Mus musculus: one gene and its partner. The protein of the gene in region 1 binds, or shares a complex with, the protein of each later gene. Links are inferred from orthologs where the notes say so. Each region holds a gene or a part of one and is shown in the gene's direction. Other genes may lie near its edges.

Region 1 (10,591 bases):
GGAGAAGGGCAGGGGAGCGGGGATATATGTGTGTGTGTGGGGGGGGGCTGTCCTTGTCCATTGGGGAAATTGGAAACTGGAAGTGGGGGATGGAGAAACTTACCTGCCCCTCAGGTCTCCCACAGCAGTTTTTAACAGGACCTTAGTGCTTGGGCATGCTGAATGGACACGTGCCCCCTGTCCCCGACAGGGTCTCCCCAGTTCATCCAGCAGTTTGTTCATTTACTCGGTGCACATGGGGCCTCTCTGAGATAGGTTAATAGGCCCGGTGTTTAGTTTGGAGAAAGGGTCAGGAGTACACAAGACTTGTCCCAGCTCTCCTAGGGTTTATGCTCTATGAAAGGGGCAAAAGGGGTGCCAAATTGGGTTACCGTGAGTGATGCAAAACAAGTCACCCTGAGGCAACAATAGAAAGCCACGGGGGTCCGTCGAATCAAAGAGAAGGATGGGAAAGGATGTCCAAAGACTAGAAGGACTAGAAGGCTTTGGGAAGAAGTCCCAGAGGGAATGGATGGGGGGGGGGGGCGGCGGCAAACATTCCAGGTACTTGAAGGTTCTCCCTGACTGCTCCAGATAGTCATCCCAGGGCTATAGTCCTCCAGAGACCTCTTATAGATTCTAGGGACCTCTCAAAACGTGATTGTGACCTTTAGGTTATAGGTTCAGGCACAGTCATACCCGGGGATCAGGCAGAAAGCAGGGGTGTCTCATCTCTCCCCTTCCTCCCGGGTACCCTGATTATCTGGTCTCAGGTGAACTCGGGCAAACCTTAAGCACGGATCAGAGAGATGATGCCCCAGCTCAAGATAACAGAACTGTACTGGATCCAGTTCTTGGGACCTGAGGCTAGCACCTTCCATAGGTGCCTAGACTCTCTGGCCATGTCCTGTTAAAGCTCCTTATCCTTGGGTCCCTGGTTGCTGTCTGGACAGTCCTCAGGGATTCCCACCTCAGCCTTGAGCTGTTAGCCCCAATGCCTGACCACAGGAGAGTTCCTCCCTTCACCATCATGAGAACTTTGGGGGCTTGGGTCCCAAAGTTCCCATTGGGTCCCTTCCCCAATGCTGTGACTTTTGTGAAGTGAGCCGAGACTGTTCCTCCTTCCTTCCTCCTTGGCGTGGTGTGAGGACACCACACTTGCGTCATCAGCCAAGGCTCTGTGTGCAATGAAATGAATAGGTCTGATCTCTAAAGTACACAGAGAGGACTCCAGGCTTCTGAATGCCTGTCAGTCAGTCAGTGAGAGGGCTAGACAACCCTGTGCACAGGATGCCTTAGTGCACGAGTGTGTGTGTGTGTGTGTGTGTGTGTGTGTGTGTGTGAGATAGGGCTGTGTAAGTCAGGGTACTGAAATGCAGTGGCTCACAGCCTTCCTAATGGTGCAACCCTTTAACACAGTTCCTCATGTCGTGGTGACCCCCAACCATCAAAATACTTTTGTTGCAGCTTCCTAACTGTAACTTTGCTACTGTTACGAATCGTAATGTAAATATTTTTGGAGAGAGAGGTTTGCCAAGGGGCTCTCGGCCCACAGTTTGAGACCCACTGTTCTAGCAGTGCAGCAGAACCAAGGAGTGTGTGTTTTGAAACACTGGCTTACAGGATGTGATCATGGTAGCCCAGCAATGGCTGTCTCTTGATGGAAAAAGGCTGAGAATCCCATAGTTATTCAGTCTGTGGGGCTGGTTATCTCTGCAGATTCAGTCTGGTGCTGGAGTCCTGGGGGAGTCCTGGGGAGCTGATGGTCTTCCATGTATGTTGGAACCACGAAGAAGGGAGACTTTAATACCAGCCACAGCAACAGGGTAGATGAACTTGCCACTGAGGGTGAGGGCAAGCAGGCAAAGGCAACGTCTCCTCCTTTACCTTATCTGGGCTGCCATCCAAAAGTTTGGGCCAGATTTAGAGTGTGTCTCTCAACTTCCAATTGTAATCTCATTAAGAAAACTCACAGAAGTACCTGGCAGCTTGGGGGTTGGTTGATTCCAGATGCAGTCAAGTTGACAAGGAAGATTAGCCATCCTAGCAGCATTGCCTGAAGCCACTTTGACTAGTTTGAGTGAATCTGCCTGGCTCCTTCCTTCTAGAGAGGGTAAATTGTGGTTATCTGCCTCCTATAGGCTGTGCCTTACCTTATCTCTTACTCGGGATGGAGGTCAGAGCCGGGGGTGGGGTCTCTGGGCTCCCTCACTAATTCCAAAGAAGAGCAGAAGAGCAGAGCTCTGTTGCTGAGATAGAGCTCAGGTGCCTGCCTACCATGAACAAAGCCCTGGTTTGAGTCTCCAGCATTGTACAATCCAGGTGTGGTGGCATACACCCGGAACCCCAACATGTGGGGAGTAGAGGCAGGAAGACCAGGAATTCTAAGGTCATCCTCAAGGACATATTGAGTTTGAGGCCAGCCTACAATACAGGAGACCTTGCATAAACAGTAAAATGTCCTCCTGGGACAGTCAGAAAGATAGAGAGCCACAGTAGAGGACCTCGAAGATACTGACAGAACTCTGGAAAGATATAGACAGATATCCCAAGAGTAAGTCTTCCCTGTTCCTACAGGGTTCCATCAGGGTTTCACTATGATGCATTCCAGGCCTTAGCCCCTCAGGTGCTGAGATTGCAGGCTTGTGCCACCATGTTCAGCTTGTGCCTGACTGTCAGAATGAACATTTCATGAGAAGCCAGCCAGGTGCCCTGGCCAGCCCCATAGAGCCAACAGTCATTTAGAGTTCGTACTTGGGAATGGCCCCTTACATCCATAGATACCTATGAGGTCTGTAAAACATTTAGAGAGATGTGGCTATGATCAAGGGATTCTGGATCTCATGTTAGGAAGCCCAAGAAAGTAGGCAGAGGGCCCTACGGCAGACCGTTCGGCATGCTGGAATATAGGTCCGTTGGACAGCAGGAGTGGGTGGCGACAGAGTCAGTAAATGGGGCAGAGAGTCCACAGTGCCTCCAATCTGAGCATGGCCCCTTCCCAAGGAAGGAAGTCAGCCATCAACTGGAATCGGTGAGCATCCCTGAGATTTCTGCTTCCAGGGCATCTCAGTGTGTTGCTTACATATTGCAGGTAAATCCCAAGTCCTGACAGGGTGCTAGTAGCTGATCTCCCAGGGTCAGACCCTATTAACTAGGGATGGCAGAAAAAGTGGTCTTTTAAGGTTCATGTGGAGGAATTTCCTAGGGCAGCTGGGAGAACCAGTTGGCAGCCTACAGCATGTGAACTTCAATGTGGAACACTCATTGCATGAGGGCTGGGGCTTTGAACAATGAGCAGGATACACTCAGGAGAGTGACTATAGCAAGGGGAGGGGTGTCAGTGTGACACAGTCTTGGCTCCCCAGCATCCTATAAGGCACAGCTTGACTTTGAACTTCTATTTCCTTTTCTATGCAAAACAACAATAAAAATATCTATCTACACCACAGGGCTGGTTGGAGGGTCAAAAGAGACAGGTGCCTGGTCCATTACTGCTGGGCTTGGTCTCCAGTCACACCTGATAGGTGGGGTGGTTGCATGGTAACAGCATCCTTTGATCTCAGCCCATCATCTCTCCTTGGCCCAGTCTAATTCCTCTTAGGAGATGCCCGCTTTTCTTTTTACCTACCACCTTTCACCATAGAGGGCATTTCTCCTGGCGGGCTGTGGGCTGTGTGGTAATGGGTATAGAAACCCCTGTTCCTGGTGAAGGTTTTGCCTAGTAAGGAGGTCACAATAGTTGCTTGCTAGTGGCATGGCTCTGTGGCCTCTCTCACACCATTTTCTTTCCTCAGTAATACCACGGATAGACAGCCAGCTGGTAGAGAAGTTGGGTCAACGTCTTTTACCTTGGATGGATCGGCTTTCCTCAGAGCAGTTGAACCCCAGCGTCTTCGTTGGCCTGCGACTTTCCAGCATGCAGGCTGGGACCAAAGAGGACCTCTACCTTCACAGCCTCAAGATCCATTACCAGCAGTGCCTCCTGCGGTATTGCTAGTCTCTTGTCTTCCCCAGTGACTTGATCCAAGTTATAAGAGATAGGAAATTGGATTCTTTTTTTTTTTTAAAGATGTCTTTCTTCCTTTCTTCCTTCCTTCCTTCCTTTCTTATAAGTACTCTGTAGCTGTCTTCAGACACACCAGGAGAGGGTATTGGATCTCATTACAGATGGTTGTGAGCCACCATGTGGATGTAGTTACTGGGATTTGAACTCAGGACCTCTTTAAGAGCAGTCAGTGCTCTTCACCACTAAGCCATCTCTCCAGCTCCTAGCAGGCTGGATTCTAATTGGGGTATTTTGTGGCTTTTTGACAAACTCTAGGCATATTTTGTCTTCTCTGAGCCTTTCTCCATCTGCAGAGTGCAGGGGTAAGTGGTACTAGATCAGAGATGCTAACACATGCCCTTTGTCCTGAAATGGTGTCCCTGATCCCTGAAGCAGCACCTAACTCTTTCTGTGCTCCCCACTGGTACCTAAGACAGACATTACTAATTCATAACCAAACATATGATTGTATATTGATACAAAGAAGCAGTATCTAACTCTGTAGTTTACTCTTGTACTACAGACAGACACTGCTAATTCACAACCATGTTCTTTCATGCAGTCTAGAAGCAGCATATTTCTGTGTTCCTTCTCCAAAGAGTAGCCATTAAAGAGAGGCCTGCTCTGGGGTTTGAGTGAGAGGCGAAGAATAAGAAAAAGCCATCAATCACTAGGCATAGTGGTATACACCTTTAATGCCAGCTCTTGGGAGGTGGAGGCAGGTGGATCTCTTTGAGTTTGAGGCCAGCCTGGTTTGCAGATCGAGTTCCAGGACATCTAGGGCTACACAGATAAATCCTGTCTTGAAAAACAAAAACAAAACAAATACATGCACATACACACACACACACAAAGAAAAAAAACATGAAATATCTGAAATATCTTCCCCATTCCATTCCTTCTCAAGAATTCAGGGAAGGGAGAGAAAATAAAGGAGAGAGTTCATGGGCAAACGGGGGTCAAACTGTATGATGTGGATGTAGGCACCTTTGTGTTTTACCCTTGACTTACCTCACCTTTCTTCTTTTGAAGAATCTGTGGCATGCACCTCATACCAGCACAGCTGACTGCTAATTCCACTTTGTGACCTTAGTGTGGGCCAAGCCTGGCTTCTCAGGGGAGCACCTTCTTACAAAGGTTCTCTTGTCTTGCCTCGTCTTAGGTCCACCTCCAGCGATGATAACAGTAGTTGCCAGCCCAAACTTTCCGGGGGCAGCCTGGCGCTCTACCTGCTTGCTCTCAGGGCCAACTGCGAATTCTTCGGGAGCCGAAAGGGTGACAGGTTGATCTCACAGCTCAAGTGGTTCTTGGAGGATGAGAAGAAGGCCATTGGTAAGGAGAACCACATCTGAGGGGGCAGGAACATCCGGGAGGGCTCATTAAATGGTTTCGGCGTTTGTAGTTTTGAGGCAGGCTCCGGACTCATAATTGTTCTTGTGAGATGAGGTTCTTGGTGGGAATCAGAACTCGGGGGTTTCTTCCCAGACCTCTTCTAACTCCCTCACTGGGTCTACCTAGAAGCTCGGGCTGGACTCAGTCGCCAGGCTTGACCCAAGCTTTCCCCTACCCCATGCACAAGCTGTTGGGTGCCCAGCCAGCAAGACTAAGCGGTTTCCACCTCTGGGACACTGGTACGGCCTCCTCTCTGCCTACTCCTTAGCCTCTGTCAACTTTCCAGCCTCCTGACTTGGACCCAATTCCCAACAGCTGAAGCAGGGATTTTCAGTATAAACCTGTTCTTCATTCAGCTTACACCTTGCAGCCCCCCTCCCTGCAGCCCCCCTCCCTGCAGCCCCCCTCCCTGCAGCCCCCTCCCCGCCGCCCCCCTCCCCGCCCATTCTTCCATTGCTAACCCTCAGCCCAGCCTGGCTGGTCTCTTACACTTTCTAGGCATTGCTTGCTTGCTTCTCTTTGTGCTCCAGGCACAATGACCTTCTCAAACAAGTCTAGATATTTATCTGTGCCCTGCAGAGTGACATCCATGAAGAATCCTGTCTCAATTTCCCAGCTATTTAGACTTCTGTTATTGGCTCTAGGGACCTCAGGCCACATTTCTGTTACAATGGTGCTGTCCTATGAGCACCGTTCTATTCTGACCTGCAGAGATAGAACCCGGCATATATTGGGACCTCAGCCAGCAGCCTGTGGTCCCGAAAGCTATGAAGTTTCTTGCTGGGAAGAGGCGGAAACCCTGACCTGTCTCTCTACTCCTTGCCTTTCTAATCTCAGGGCACAATCATGAAGGCCACCCCAACACCAACTATTACCAGTATGGCCTCAGCATCCTGGCACTGTGTGTCCACCAGAAGCGGCTCCATGACAGCGTGGTGGGCAAGCTCCTGTATGCTGTTGAACATGACTACTTTACCTACCAGGGCCACGTCTCTGTGGGTGAGTGGACAAAACCTAGCTTTCCCCAGCCCCAGGGGAAGGGGTGTACGACCTGTCCCTCTGCTCACCTTTCATTGGAACATCTCCTTGCCAGATCCCTTCGAAATGAAATGGTGGGGACTGTGAGCCAGCTTTGAAACTGGACTTGCATCCTGACCACAGCTCCATCACGTGTTCACTGTAGGTCATCCTCCTCCTCTTCCCGCCAGGCTTTTCCTTTAAAACAACCTCCCAGCAGCAGCTCAGTAAAGGCACTTTACAAGCAGAGGTCTTAGCACACACTTGGTACCGTATAACCTGGGATTCTGATACCTGGATTTTGATCTGATTTCTCACTATGTGACCTTGGGCCACCAGACCTATTTTTTAATCATCACAATTCAAGGTCTCTGCTAGGCCTGGGCTTCTGTGAATGAATAAGGCCTCATGTAGGGTGGGTAGGATGGAGTAGGAAGGGGGTTGATTGGTAGATGATTGCTTAGAGAGAAAAAGGCACCAGGACCTCTGGCAATGAAAGACTTGTCTCAGAGTCTTGTAGAGAAACACAGTGGACACATTAATGTTGCCTAGAGGGAAGAGGAGATCTTAAAAACTCCCAGGCCCTGACAGCTACCTTTATCAATTAAATCAGAATGCCTGAGGGTAGATAACGTAGCTGTTGGCACCAAACTCTCCAAGGAGGCTGGAGATGTAGCCCAATGGCAAATAACTACTATGCTTGAGGTCCTAAATTCAATACTCTACACTACAAAACCAATATGATTTAATTAATCAGTAATAAAGTTCCCTCTTTGGTCTCAGTGCATCCTGGCTTAGGAGCAGGGACTGTAGAATCCATCCTCTGGGACCCTCTTCTTCAGTCTGTCCATATAACCTGTTACTCTCAAGCCACTCAGTGACCAAGTTTGTCTAGGTCTGAGCGTTTTTCTGGGGCTTACTGTGTCCAGTGTTAGGACCAGGGAAGTCCTGGGCAAATCACCTGAATTGGTATGGTATATGATCCTGAATCCCCACCTAGTCTGATCTTATCAAGCTGTCCAGTTCATACTAGATGTTATCCCCCTAGACACAGAAGCCATGGCCGGCTTGGCCCTCACCTGTTTGGAGCGATTCAATTTCAACTCTGATCTGAGACCACGAATCACCATGGCTATCGAGACAGTGCGAGAGAAAATCCTGAAGTCCCAGGCCCCTGAGGGCTACTTTGGGAATATCTATAGCACCCCACTGGCACTACAGGTAAGAGAGAGACTCTGGAGCCATGACTGCTTAGCGGGTCAATGGAGGGAGGGCTGGTTAGAAGCTGGAGAGCCTGGTTCCTTCCCAGGGGCTAACCTCTGACCTTCTCTTCCTCACAGATGCTCATGACATCTCCTGCATCCGGGGTAGGGCTGGGCACAGCGTGCATCAAGGCAGGGACATCCCTGCTGCTCAGCCTACAGGATGGGGCCTTCCAAAATCCTCTGATGATTTCCCAGCTGCTACCCATCCTGAACCACAAGACCTACTTGGATCTTATCTTCCCAGACTGCCAGGCATCCAGGGGTAGCAGAGCCCTTTCTGTCTCCTAAGTGATAAGCTACTCTCTGTGGGTCCCAGTGATGGGTGACCAGTCAGTGATGCTTGGCTGAGGCGACATGAGCATGCACAGAACACAGCAGCTAAAACGAGGCCACAGCCTTCTGATACTCATGGTGTGGGCACAGACACCAAACAAGTGCTCTGGGCGGTACCCACTGCGTGATACCCACCGTGGAAATGTTTGGGCGAGGGAATGGAGGAGTGTATTAGTCATGGTCCTCTAAAGCAGCAGCATTGATAGGATGGTTTATTGGATTGGCATACACTATATGGTACAGATAGTTCAACAGTGGCTCTCTCACTCTGTCTCAGTCTGGAAAGCTGGATGTCTCCGCAGTCCCAGTGTGGCGATGCAGGAGGCCTGATGGATTCTGAAGAGCTGTTAGCCTTCTATCTACATTGGAAGTGTGAGGAAGTTGGTTTAATATCAGCAAAGGGATGCTGTAAGAGGTCAGATAAAGTAGATAGTGAGAGTGAGGGCAAGCGGCAAAAAGCAGGTTCCTTCTTCCGAGTCCTTTTGCCTGATCTGCCACCGGAAGGTGCTGCCCACATTTACAGAGGGTCGTCCCCATTTTGAAGAATCTGATTGAGAAAACCCATCTCATGAATACCCAGAGACTTGCATTTTAGTCGATTCTAGATGCCATCAGGTTGAAAAGCGAGATCATCACAGATGAGTTAATGACTCAATGAGTGGAGAGACACATTTGGTTAATGTTGGTACCCAAGGACTTGTCAGGAAATGGGAGGAGAGGGCAAAGGAGCAGAGAAGGCCAAAGCAGAGGCGCGGGGCCCTGTAACACAGGGGCATCATGGGAGAAAGTGGGTCTGGGAGAATGAACAGGTGTAGTAGATAAATGCAGAGAAAGAAGATGTGTCTGTCAGGGGTGACCAGGACGTGACTTGAACAGATGCAGACAGGGTCCTCTGAGGTGCGGTGTGTCAGATAGGAGAGAGGCAAGAAGCAGAGACCCAGCAAGGAGCTCAGGCCTGGGCTGCAGAAGGATGTGGAGGCTGAGATGAGACCCGGGTTTCAGCCCAGCAGCTGTTCATGCTGTTGACTGAGCTATTTCGAGGGAAGGCCGTAGGCCACTCGGGCAAGGTGTCTGTAGGAAGAAGGGAGGACTCAGATCCAGGCTCCCGGTCCTCATGACAGCTGCTTCTTCCTTTCTTCCTGGCATAGTCATGTTGGTGCCAGCTGTTGAGGACCCTGTCCACATCTCAGAAGTCATCAGCGTCACGCTGAAGGTCGCCAGTGCCCTGTCACCATACGAACAGACATTTTTTGTCTTTGCTGGATCTTCCTTGGAAGATGTCCTGAAGTTGGCACAAGATGGCGGAGGATTCACGTGAGGCTTCCCGTTCCTCATCCTAGCTCTCACTTCCCTCAGGCCTCCGTGCTTGAAATGGTATCATGGGAAGGGTGAGGAACAGAGGAGTTTCTTGGGAGAAGTTCTGGTTTAATTTCTATGTCTACCTTCTCCACTCCTTTCTGGCCTGTGTTTTGGGCCTGTGGTGTTTGGCCTGTGCTGGGAGCTATGGACCACCACTGTCATCAAGGGACCCAGACTTGGGACTCCAGTTCCTCACTCTTCATCCACTCCCTACAACCCCAGGCTAGTGAGTTGAGGGACGAGATGTTGCTCCTCTTCACAGGGCCACTAGGGGGAGCCTAAGCTCACCGCTGGGCATGTTTTGTGTAGGTTTAAAGCTTGGTATGCAGTGAGAGCGCCAGGAAGATTAATTGTATCAAATAACCTTGATAACATCTCGCCATTAATAACTCTGAGAAGGTAGACACTTGTCCCTTGAGATTTGACAAGCGCGAGAATAGGCGAAACTTAGTTGCTGCTCCTTGCTGGCCCCTGGCCAACCATGGAGATGGATCTGCCTCCCCAGGGTTAACTCTGGCTCGAAGCAGCTGAGTATCCCTACCAGCCTGCTCTCTCCCCTGGATTCTTGCCTTATCTTGAGAAATCTCTGCTTTCTGTTCCCAACAAGAGTTCCAGGGAAAGCCACCTAAGGACTGTTTGGTCATTTGGGCCAAGAACTCTTAGAACACAGCTGTGTAAACACCACTGTCCTTTTTGTTTGTTTTTCAGAGACAGGGTTTCTTTGTGTAGCTCTGGCTGCCCTGGAACTCACTCTGTAGACCAGGCTGGCCTCAAAAGCTCAGAGAGCTCTGCCTGCCTCTGCCTCCCAAGTGCTGGGATCAAAGGCCACTGTCTTTAAGGAACAAAAACGCCCCACTTCCCAGGTTAAGTGACATATACCCCCCCTCCCGGTGGAGGATGCAATCTAGAGCCAGGCTAAGCAGGAGCTCTACTATCGATCGTTCAGATTTTAACTTTTCATTTGCAAACAAGGTCTGCATTAGTCACATGTCTAATTGCTGTGACAAAAGACCTTATGGAGGCAAAGTGCAGAGAGAAGCTGGTTTAGGCTCCCAGTTCTGGGTGAGACAGTTCGTCGAGGTGGGACAAGGTGTCGTGGTCACAGTTGGGAAAACTCAGTGATGGGAGCCACTGTTGACAGTTGCTCTCCTTCCCGCTCAGCGAATGGCCCAGGCCATGTGCCGGGGTCACCCAGACTTGG
Region 2 (11,061 bases), on another chromosome or scaffold:
TGAATACATGCTGCAGCATGTGTGGACATGTGTGCCGGGTGTGTGAACACACGCTGCAGCATGTGTGGACATGTGTGCCGGGTGTGTGAATACATGCTGCAGCATGTGTGGACATGTGTGCCGGGTGTGTGAATACATGCTGCAGCATGTGTGGACATGTGTGCCGGGTGTGTGAACACACGCTGCAGCATGTGTGGACATGAGAAGACAACTTTGGGAATTGGTTTTCTCCTTCCACTTGGTTTTTGGTGTCCTGTGTACTCCAGGTTAGCTGGCCCAAGAGTGTCTGCCTGAGGCTGCTGTCTGTACCTCCCAGCCTGCTGTAGGATTAGATTTGAGCCACTATGTGTCATTTTTGGGCTCTGAGGATGGGACTTAGGTCTCAGCCTTTTGAGGCTAGCACTTTTACTTGCGATCCATCTTGCCAGTTTTTTTTTTTTTAAATGGGGTCTTGGTGCCTGTAATCTCTGTATTACTAAGCCAGTAGGTGAGCTAGTAGGTGAATATCATTTTTGCTCCGTGGAATGACTCTGTAGCCCTTAAGTAGTCATTGATGAAGGTAGAACTGTGGAAAACATAAATAAAACAATAAGTTGAGTGTGGTGGTGCATGGCTAACCCCAAATTTAGGAGGCAGAGGCAGGAGGATTGCCAGTTTGAGGCCAGATTTTAGGTTACAGATTGAGAACCTATATCTCAGACTAACAAACAGAACACTGGCATCAAAAGAAAAGTAGAGATGAGCAAGAGTGTGGAGACTGGGGCTGCCTGGAAGCTGAGAGCAAGAGCAAGAAGGCCACAGCCCTGCCTGGAAGGTGTCAGGGTCTCAGAGTGAGTGTTATAGGATGCTACAGCTGCAGGCTTCACGGAGGAGGTGAAAGGGCAAGCTAGATTCAGAAAGGAGGTCAAACGGGAGAGGAACCGTGGTCATAGTATACAGAGCCTGCTGCCAGAGGACTCCTAAAGGCCTCGGGCAATATGTGGTATTGAAAATTGCTGTGTAGATTTATGACCTAGGAAATTGCAGGAGTGGTGTGGGAAAGGACTCCCTCCCTCCCTCCTTCCTACCTTCCCTCCCTCCCTCCCTCCCTCCCTCCCTCCCTCCCTCCCTCCCTTCTTTCCTTCCTTTCTCTGCTTTTTTGAGACAGTGTTTCTCTGTGTAGCCCTGGCTATCCTGGAACTCACTATTGACAATTAGCCCCCAATTCAGAGATCCTTCTACCTCTGCCTCCTGCGTGCTGGGATTAAAGGTGTGTGCCACCAAGCCTGGCTGATTTTCTTTTTTTTTTTTTCTCTTTCCTCCTCCTCCTTTTTTTTTTTTTTTTTTTTTTTTTTCCGAAATACTAGGATTACTAGTGTGTGCCCCCAGCCCTGGTTTATAGGATGCTGGGAATTGAACACAGGGCTTGGTGCATGCCAGACAAGCAAGCTCTCTACCAACTGAGCTCCATCTTGAGTCCTTTTGTTTTCTGAGGCAGGTCCCTACTCTAACTTAGGCTAACTTGGAACTTACTAAATAACTCGTGCTGACCTTGAAGTTAATGAAGTCCTTCAGCCTCAGCTGAAGAGATTATAGGTGTTTGCTTTCGTGTGTGGGCTCACCTCTTTATCTCTGTTTTGGCAGTTCTCTGAGCAATTCTGGGAGGTCATCTTGAACAGACAGTGCACTCTCTCGGGCTCATTGAGAGCTGGTGAATTCTAGGCAGTTGGGGAGTGGATTGCATTGCTCTGTGTAAATCTAGGGTCTGCCCAGATACCTTCCCCCACCACCAAGGACCAGCCTTGTCTTGGAAAGGGGTTCTGAGAGAAGAGTTGTCTGGGAGGTGAGAACAAATTGTGGGTCTAAGCTGAGGACCTATGTTTTGCTTGAGACAGCTCTCTAGAGTGCTTTCTGTAAGTTCTGCTCTCTCTGGAGGTCTCCAGACAGCTGCTCTCTCTCTATGTTCTGCTTATGCCAGTTCTCCAAGCACTTCTCTCTTGCTATTCAAAAAAAAATTCTCTGAGTATCTCATGCAGATCATGAACCCAGTCTTTTATTTTACATGTCAATCTAGTCATGTATTCCAGGATCCCTTTTGATTATCCTATGAATCAGCATCTTGTGACCCCAGCCCCTTAATTCTTAGAAGACAGTAAGCACACCCTTTTTTTTTTAAACATTGCAAAAGAATTCAGAAGATGCCTGCTACTGTTAAACATAGACCATAAGCTAGCTGGGTGGGACCCCATCCCGAAATAATATTTCTTCCATGCCTGGGCCAAAAACTTGCTCTGTCCCAGGCCAACCCTGAACTCAAATGTCTGCTTTTGTAAGCATAAACAAACAAACAAACAAACTTAGCTGGGTGGGCTATCCTTTGATCACCACTCCCCACGTCTCTTTATCTCCCGAGTATCTTTCTGACAAGTCGGCTCCCAGCACAACTGCTTTTGTTCCTTTAGATTAGTGAAGCTCATATAATTCATATTGCATCCTTATTTTTTGAGAAATTAAATATTTTTGAACTCTTTTTTTAAAGTTCTTTCTCACAGGCCTAAGCTGTTCCTAAGATCCTAATGTTTACCATTTTGCTGAGACATTAGCCACACCTTGGCCTCCTGCACTCTTGCTGTCTCTGATTATCATGGAGTTATTAACTTTAACAGGGAGGACATTCCTTGAAGGAGGAATGTAATATACATAGTTATACAAACAAGCCTTAAGCTCTGCACTCATGGAGGCCTATGCCTGATGGCCGTGTCCCAGGGGCAGGTAGCACCCTACCAAGATCCTGATCCTCAAAAGTAGGATGATCTGGGGGGTGGGTATGGGGGACCTTTGGGATAGCATTGAAAATGTAAACGAGGAAAATACCTAATTTAAAAAAAAAATGGGAATGGGTGGGGGGAGGGGGGGACTTTTGGGATAGCATTGGAAATGTAATTGAGGAAAATACATAATAAAAAAAAAAAAAGAGGAAAAAAAAATGTAGGATGATCCCCACCCTCCCCTGGGCTGTCTTACTTACCTCTGTCTGCATCCCTCTCTGCCTGAATACCATTGCCTTCTCCAGAAATTGGTGAGGCTTACACAGTACACTCCAAAAGTAGTCATAACCTCTAACATTTACGGTGGTAGAGAGGCCATCCATCCACAAGCAGCACCATTTGTGTGAAAGTCTGGACTTCTATGTAGCCTTCTGGTCTACATTCTGGGAAACTTAGCCATTTGAAGGTTAGTGACTTGCCTTCCAGCCTTGTTGGGAGGTAGTGTCATAGATTCTTTTTTTTTTTTTTTTTTTTTTTTTCTTTTTGGTTTTTCGAGACAGGGTTTCTCTGTGTAGCCCTGCTGTCCTGGAACTCACTTTGTAGACCAGGCTGGCCTTGAACTCAGAAATCCACCTGCCTCTGCCTCCCGAGTGCTGGGATTAAAGGCATGCGCCTCCACGCCCGGCCAGTGTCGTGGAATCTTAAGGTAGAGCTATGGAAAACGTAATGTGAAGAATAAAACACTAAGCTGGTACATGACTATATCCCCAATACTTCGGAGGCCAAAGCAAGAGAGAGGATCACTAGTTTCAGGCCAGCTTGGGTTACCTCAGACCAGCAGAAACCACAACATCACTAGCCACATTGGATAAGCTGACTCAATGCATTCAACTGTGGAAGTGGGATGAGAAAACCCAAGGCTGCCAATCTGTATCAATTACAATTAATACAATTGTAGTATCAATCTACCAGGCCCATGTTAGAATAAATGTTTCTCAAGTGTGTGAGAACTAGAAGTTAATGAGGTTGGGATGGGAACCAAGGAGATGGTCAGTCCAGGTTCGAAGCCAGTAACTGTTCACTCATTTGATCATTCCATCATTCCCTCACTATTTTCGCCATTCATCAAAGGAAACCAACATCCTGGTTCGCCTGCAGCTGGCATTCTAGGGGGCAATCAAGACAATAAAGCTAAAATAAGTAAAATCCTTAGGTGGCACAAAGGAGGGACCTGCTGGGGAGTGTTCACAGGGTGTGGCTGCCATATTCATTGGGACCATTGGGCAGTGATATTTGCAGTAGGCTACATGTGAAGTTTAGGTCAAAATTGCTAAGTTCATTTATATCCCTAGAAGGTTTATTTTTATTTTTGGTTTTTTGAGACAGGGTTTCTCTTTGTAGCCCCCGGTGTCCTGGAACTTACTCGGTAGACCAGGCTGGCCTGGAACTCAGAAATCTGCCTGTCTTTGCCTCCCAAGTGCTGGGATTTAAGGCGTACACCACCACTGTTCAGCAGAAGTTTATTATTTCAAGTTAATGTGGTTATTTTCATGGAACTGGGGATTAAACCTAGAGCCTCCTGAATACTACTAGGCAAGTGCTCTACTACTGAACTACTCCCCGAATTCCTGTTTTTTATTCTGAGGTAGGGTCTCCTTTAATAGCCTAGGTTGGCTTTGTTCTTCCTCAGCCTGTAGAATATCTGGGAGTTACAGGCCTAGGTCACCAAACACATTAGGTTTTACTGCTAGGAAGAAGCCAGGAGGAGCCCTAAAATCAAAGTACCCTTGTATTCGGGTACTTACGGTCGCAGGCTTGCTTGCGCCACTCCCCCCTGCCTTTGTGTGCGCGTGCGCGAGAATCAGCGCGTCCTTCTGACTGAGCGGCTGCGGCTGGAGCGGAGCAGTTCGGCTAGCTGTTGGATGGCGCGGGGCGGAGCTGGGCGGGCAGTGGCCCTGGGCCTGGTGCTGCGGCTCCTCTTTGGTCTCAGAACAGGCCTAGAGGCCGCTCCGGCTCCGGCCCATACCCGGGTCCAAGTCTCCGGTGAGTGAACCCCCGTTTCTACACCGCTTTTGATCCCGCCTCCACGCGCTGGCATCGCCTCACTATTGGCTGCGCCGCCCATCGGTCGTTGACACTCCCCCAGCACGCGTGTTTGGCTTTAGCGTGGGTAGAGTGGAGAGAATCGGCCCTCTGTGCGTGCAGAGGGGACCGCCACATGGGTGCCTTCTCCTGTGTTCTGCTCAGCTTCCTCCCTTATTCCTGCGCTGTCCCTAAGTCACCTCCAAGCCGTCCTTCAGCTCAATGTGGGCTGGAAGGCTTTTGTTTCTGATTTTGACCTCTCACCACGCAGGGCTGGTCACCCGGTACCTTCTTGCAGCAGGTATGCCTTCCCGAAACCTTCAGCCCTGAGGCTGCAGTTCTGTGGCTGTTCTTTCAGCACCCAGAGCTTCAGTTTTTCCTTGTATTCCTGCCTCAGAGAATGGAAGGAAGAGCCCTGGAGTGTATTTCCCCTGTGAACCCCAATCTTGGCCAGGAACCTGTCCCGGGCAGGACGAGGAGGCCCGATTGTGACCACTGGCCACTACTGACCATCCACTCTGTATGAGAATAGGTCTTAACTGTTTCAAGGTTTTTTTGGTTTGTTTGTTTTTGTTTCTGTTTTTAGGTTTTTATTATGTTTTGATTTTTTTTTTTTTTTTCCAAACAGGGTCTCACTTTATAGCTCTGGCTGTCTGCAACTTGCTATATAGACTAGGCTGGGCTTGAACTCCTAGAGATCCACCTCCCAAGTACTGGGATTAAAGGCAGGCACTAGTTCCCCTTTTTTTGAGACAGGGACTTACTATATAACACAGGCTGGACTGCTGTTTTCAACTTGTGCCTTAGGCTCCCCAGCACAGGGATTATTAGGTATGGACCATTGTATTTGGCTGTTTATGGATCTGTACCCATAAACTACCCCTCCTCCCACTTTCGGCTGTTTTGTAGCTCCAAGCAGTCTTCTTGTTCCAGCATCCCAGGAGCTGGACTTACTATTGAGCAACATTAAGTCTGGCCTTAGTATTCCTCTTTTACAGATGAGGACATAGACTGGGAGGAGGAATCATGGGTCATCCTGACTCCTGTCTGATTAATTGCCCCCAAGAGGTATAGGGTCTGCTCTGCTCTGGGCCCATTCCAAGAAAATACAGAGTCAGGAAGAGAAGGTCTGAGTTGGCAGGACTGTGAGTTGTTAGGCATGGAGAGGAGGCTATGCTGGGCAGGAAGGGGTGGTGGCCAGGGCTTGTATTCAGTTCTTCAGCTCTCTGGAGCTTCTGAACTGTGTGGTATGCAGGTATAATTGCGTTTGACTACAAGGAGAGGGAGGGAGGGGTCTTGGAGGCTCTGGCTCTGTGTGTGAGGTAGGAAGCTCTAAAGGCTCCCTCCTGTCTTTGTTCATTCCTTCCTGCTGGCCCAAGTACCAGGTCTCTTCACTGCCTGCCCCTCTTGATCAGCAAACAGCCCCGGCTTCCCTGGAAAGGCTTAGGTTTTATCTGGGTCAATGTGGACCCTCACATGACTTGTTCACACACTGTCAGGCACTAGACATGGCCATGAGGCCACGTCCCTGACTTTCACTGAGAGTGTTCAGTCAATAGGAATATGGATGTTACTAGTTAGGGACTGTTGTTTGTGGGAGGCAGAGCTTCCTGGGGAACATGAGACACTGCCCAAGATATAAACTAAGATCTGAAAGCTGAAGAAGAATCACACCTATAGAGTGGAAGGACAAGGTGGGCTGTGGCTGGGGTATATAGCTCAATGGTAGAATGTTTGCTTGATGTGCAAAACGGTCTAGACTCCTCTTCCTCTGAATACAGAGTGGAAGAAGGGCCCTTGGGTTGTGGAAGGCACGTGCAAAGGCCCTGTGATGAAAGCGAGTCAAGTCTCTTAGATAAACTACGAGGAGGAGGCCAGGATAGAGGGGTTTGATGGAGAAGGGAAGGATTTAGCCTTGGATGTGAGAGGACCTGGGTCCCGTGGGATAGTGGGTGATCAGAGTAGATAAGAGTGTGATATTCTGGCCTGGTGGAGATTCGGTACTAGGGGTCTAGTTCAGAGGTGACATATTTAGGTCAAGCTGAGTGTTTTCACCTGGGAAGAACTTGGGAGATGAGGGAATAGGTCTTGGCGAGTACACATGATCACCATGCTTTAAGTCAAGGTCTTCCTATATAACCCTAACTGGCCTGGAACACAGAGTCCTTCTGCCTCCAACCTCCTGCATACATATAATACCATGCCTGGCTTTTGAGCAGATTTACTACCCAGGCTCTCAGTTTCCCCTTTGCTAAGCAGGTGGGTTAGACTAGGTCCCCCTGACCTTGATCATGAGTCTCTTGCAGAGCATGTTGGGGAACGGCTCTTCTCCGAGCCCGTTTAAACTATGGAGCTTGGTGGTCTCCAATGTAGACTTTGTGGCCATTTGGAGCATTTGGAGCCTAATAGTGTCAAGGGTCAGTAAGACCTGGGTTTGAGTCCCGACTTTTGTCACCAGCTCTGTGTGGTCATAGTGTTTCAGAAGACTGGAGCCTAGCAGCATTCATGAACTTCCAGGGCCCCAAACCCAGGGCTCTGTAGAGGGTGGCTATCAATATAGTTTCTTTACCCTTTCTTTACATCGCTTATCTCTAGCTGATTGCAGCTCATAACTGTCCTCTTGAAAGATATTCTAGATTTGGATCCCCCAACCCTCCCAAGGCCTCATTTATGTTCATTTCTCAGGCTCTAGAGCTGACTCCTGCCCGACAGACACCTTCCAGTGTCTTACCAGTGGCTATTGTGTGCCCCTTTCCTGGCGCTGTGATGGGGACCAGGACTGCTCTGATGGCAGTGACGAGGAAGACTGTAGTAAGTGGCCATTCCTGGAGAGGGGCTTGAGGATGGGTGTTTACACTGCTGCCAGGCATGGAGATTAGGGGATTAGGAAAAGACTGGTTGTAGGGCTGGATAAGCAGGGCAAGGTGGAGTCTGTGGGTCTGGACTGTTGGGATTGCTTTATACCCAGCGCTCTAGAGACATAGGTAGGCAGGCGTACGGGGAGGGTGAGCAGGTAAAGGAGGAGCCTGATGGGAAGCCGAGGGCTTAGTAGGTGGAGTTGACAGGTGTTGCACAGAGACTTCCCATAGGGCAAGCCTTTACACACAGACTTCTTTATTTTACTTAGTGTGTGTCTGGGTACAAGTGTGTGCAGGAGTGTTTGCCAGCATGTCTGTGTGTATGTAGGGCTGGAGCTTGACACTGGTGGTGTCCTTTGTTGCTCTCCACCTTACTTTTGAGACCATCTTTCACTAAAATTGACAATCCCCCAGCACGCGCCTTTGGATTTAGTGTGGGGAGAGTGGAGAGAATCAGCTAGAATGGTTTGTTCCAGGGAGCCCCAAGATCCAGCCATGTGTACTCTTAGCCTTGTGGTTAGAGATGTGCCCTGCTGCACCTGGCCTTTACTAGGTACTGGGGATCAAACTCATTCAACATGTTTGTACTACAAGCACTTTGCCCTCTGAGTTATCTCCTCAGCTCTGAGGAAGCTGCTTTCATACATTTATTTTGTATGTCCCAGGATGGCCTGAAAGTCTCTATGTCGATCAGGCTGGCTTCATACTCACAGAGATCTATCTGCCTTTGCCTCCCAAGTGCTGGGATTAAAGTAGCTAAAGGAACGAGATGCTTTTAGTTTTTAGTTTAGTTTGCTACTTGTGGAAGAAGTTAGGATTTAGAGCGGATTGGGTAACCAGAGCACTGGGATTTCTTCTTTGTGTGAGTGTGTGTGTGTGTGTGTGTGTGTGTGTGTGTGTGTGTGTATGAGAGAGAGAGAGAGAGAAAGAGAGAGAGAGAGAGAGTGAGTTAGGGTTTCTTTACATATTGATAGCTGTCTTAGAACTCACTATGTAAGCCGGGGCGTGGTGGCGCACGCCTTTAATCCCAGCACTCGGGAGGCAGAGGCAGGCGGATTTCTGAGTTCGAGGCCAGCCTGGTCTACAAAGTGAGTTCCAGGACAGCCAGGGCTATACAGAGAAACCCTGTCTCGAAAAACCAAAAAAAAAAAAAAAAAAAAAAAAAAAAAAAAAAAAAAAGAACTCACTATGTAGACTAGGCTGGCCTCCTCTTCCAAGTGCTGGGATTAAAGGTGTGCACCACCGTGCCTGGCATACTGCATTTTCTTGCATGGATGTTTTGAATCTGATTGACTCTATGTTTCAGGGATTGAGTCATGTGCTCAGAATGGGCAGTGCCAACCACAGTCTGCCCTTCCTTGCTCCTGTGACAACATCAGTGGTTGCTCTGATGTCTCTGACAAGAACCTCAACTGCAGCCGCCCACCCTGTCAGGAGAGTGAGCTGCATTGCATACTGGATGATGTCTGTATTCCACACACGTGGCGCTGTGATGGCCACCCAGACTGTCTTGACTCCAGTGATGAGCTCAGCTGTGGTCTGTGTCCTGGGATCTTGGTATACCTGTGTGGGTGGGGAAGGCTGACAGTTATTTAAGGACATTTCTTTCCTTCCATGGGTGACTAGTTTGAGGATGTAAACACACGCTTCCTCCCAGGCCTTCGTCCCTGTGCTGGTGGACAGGACATCATGAGGATTAGTGATTTCCCACCAACTTTACTCTGTCTTAGATCAGGATGAATTCTAAGAGTTGGGCACTGGAAACCTTGTGTACCAGACTGCTAAGCCCTGGGCGCCCCTCAGCTACTGATGCCTTGCCTTGTTGCAGACACTGACACAGAAATTGATAAGATATTCCAGGAGGAGAATGCCACAACTACAAGGATTTCTACGACCATGGAGAATGAGACCTCTTTCAGGAATGTAACATTTACCTCTGCTGGGGACTCATCCCGAAACCCAAGTGCCTATGGGGTTATTGCAGCTGCTGGTAAGATAGGCTTTCCCATGTGAGGAACTTGGGGCTCTCCACTTACTAGTCTGCGATAGTTCCTGCCCTCCTTATCCTACTCCTGACCATCTGTCTGTCCCCTACAGGGGTGTTGAGTGCCATCCTGGTTTCGGCCACCCTTCTCATATTGCTACGCCTCCGAGGTCAGGGTTATCTGCCCCCACCAGGGCTGTTGGTGGCTGTGAAGGAGTCGCTGCTGCTGTCAGAAAGGAAAACCTCTCTGATCTGAGGACACATGGTTACCACCTGGCCCTGAGTGCAGTCAGACTGGGACAAAGGAGCCGTGAAACACGCAAGGAGCTTCTGGCTTCTCAGCTTTGAGACCTGGGCTCTTTGGAGCACAGAGAACTTTGATTTTTAAGCTTCTACAGATATGGTCCTAGAGACTGGGGTCCTCAGACACTCCCGCTGTATGTGGTGAGCTTGGCTGGAAACTTGCCATAGCCAGGACTGAGGGGCTGGCCCCAGGACGCTCTCAAGAAATGGGGCTACTGTGGTTTAGACACTCCTGCTGCTCACATTGATGGGTGGCTATTAAAGTTTCTTCACCCCTCTGTCTGCCTCTAGCCTGTTTCCCTTGGCCTGGGCAGCCTATGGTCTCGGCTGGATCTCCTTCTACCTTTTAAAAGGGAGTCTTCAGCCAAGAGGTCTGTGTCCTGGACATTTCCTCCTATACTCTACTTTTATAAAGTGAGGACGAGTATTGAGTCCACACTCAACATTAACAGTGGGCTTAATAGGAGAAGAGACCTGAAGTAATGTTTCCTTATTGGGCATTCCTTTGTCATGGCTTCTTCTGTGACATGGAAGCTGGGCTAACCTGATTTGAACTTGGCTATCCCCTGTTTTTTCAGGGCTATAATCCCAGCAGTTGGGAAGGGGAGATAGGAGAATTAGAAGTAATAGGCTTGATGTACATGCCTGTAATTCTAGCACTGGGGAGGTTGAGGCCTGAAGAGCTGGAGTTCAAGGAATGTCTGTGCTATTCAGGGAGACCTTATTTCCTTTCTTCCCCAGATGCAGTTGGTTGATGTTTTATGAGACAGTTCTGTTCTAGGCTGACAGGTTGTTTACTGTCTAGCAATGAGTTAGCCCCGGGAGGTAGGGAAGGGCTGTCCCCATGTCATAACTGAAGCCCAAGATACCTGAACATGGACATACAGAAAACAAGAAAATATTGTTAATACAACTTGACTTCTGAGTAACAAGGCCAGAGCTCTTCCCAGACTCTCAAATTCCTAAGTAAAATGGTGGGGACTGTTAGAATGCCTCCAACAGGCAGAGGAGAGGCCTTCCTGGTATCTCTAGCTCCTAGTAACCTCCAGGCCCATGATGAGTATTGGAGCTCTGAGGCTGTACAAGT

What was found.
Region 2: the proteins of Tcn2 (region 1) and Cd320 are in contact, whole or in part, in a crystal structure (PDB 7QBF), measured with the Homo sapiens proteins. The link is inferred for Mus musculus from reciprocal best matches to the Homo sapiens genes TCN2 and CD320. Residues at the interface, in NP_000346.2 of Homo sapiens: Asp70, Leu71, His74, Lys77, Leu78, Gln81, Gln82, Glu91, Asp92, Arg120, Gly121, His122, Lys123, Asp125, Arg126, Val128, Ser129, Lys132, Trp133, Glu136, Arg140, Lys169, Arg170, His172; in NP_057663.1 of Homo sapiens: Thr57, Lys58, Leu66, Cys67, Val68, Pro69, Trp72, Asp75, Arg76, Asp77, Leu78, Asp79, Leu133, Glu136, Cys145, Ile146, Pro147, Thr149, Trp150, Asp153, Gly154, His155, Pro156, Asp157, Cys158, Pro159.

The regions. Positions count from the first base shown.
Region 1 is NC_000077.6:3,920,765-3,931,355, reverse strand, and holds part of Tcn2 (transcobalamin-2 precursor), read left to right. Parts: intron 1-3,773; coding exon 3,774-3,966; intron 3,967-5,186; coding exon 5,187-5,356; intron 5,357-6,253; coding exon 6,254-6,415; intron 6,416-7,481; coding exon 7,482-7,654; intron 7,655-7,773; coding exon 7,774-7,960; intron 7,961-9,179; coding exon 9,180-9,345; intron 9,346-10,591. UniProt on the Homo sapiens protein: Primary vitamin B12-binding and transport protein. Delivers cobalamin to cells.
Region 2 is NC_000083.6:33,838,502-33,849,562, forward strand, and holds the start of Cd320 (CD320 antigen isoform 1 precursor), read left to right. Parts: upstream 1-4,589; 5' UTR 4,590-4,669; coding exon 4,670-4,790; intron 4,791-4,924; exon of another isoform or gene 4,925-5,051; coding exon of another isoform or gene 5,052-5,130; intron 5,131-7,514; coding exon 7,515-7,640; intron 7,641-8,993; coding exon 8,994-9,224; intron 9,225-9,515; coding exon 9,516-9,677; intron 9,678-9,784; coding exon 9,785-9,927; 3' UTR 9,928-11,061. UniProt on the Homo sapiens protein: Receptor for transcobalamin saturated with cobalamin (TCbl). Plays an important role in cobalamin uptake. Plasma membrane protein that is expressed on follicular dendritic cells (FDC) and mediates interaction with germinal center B cells.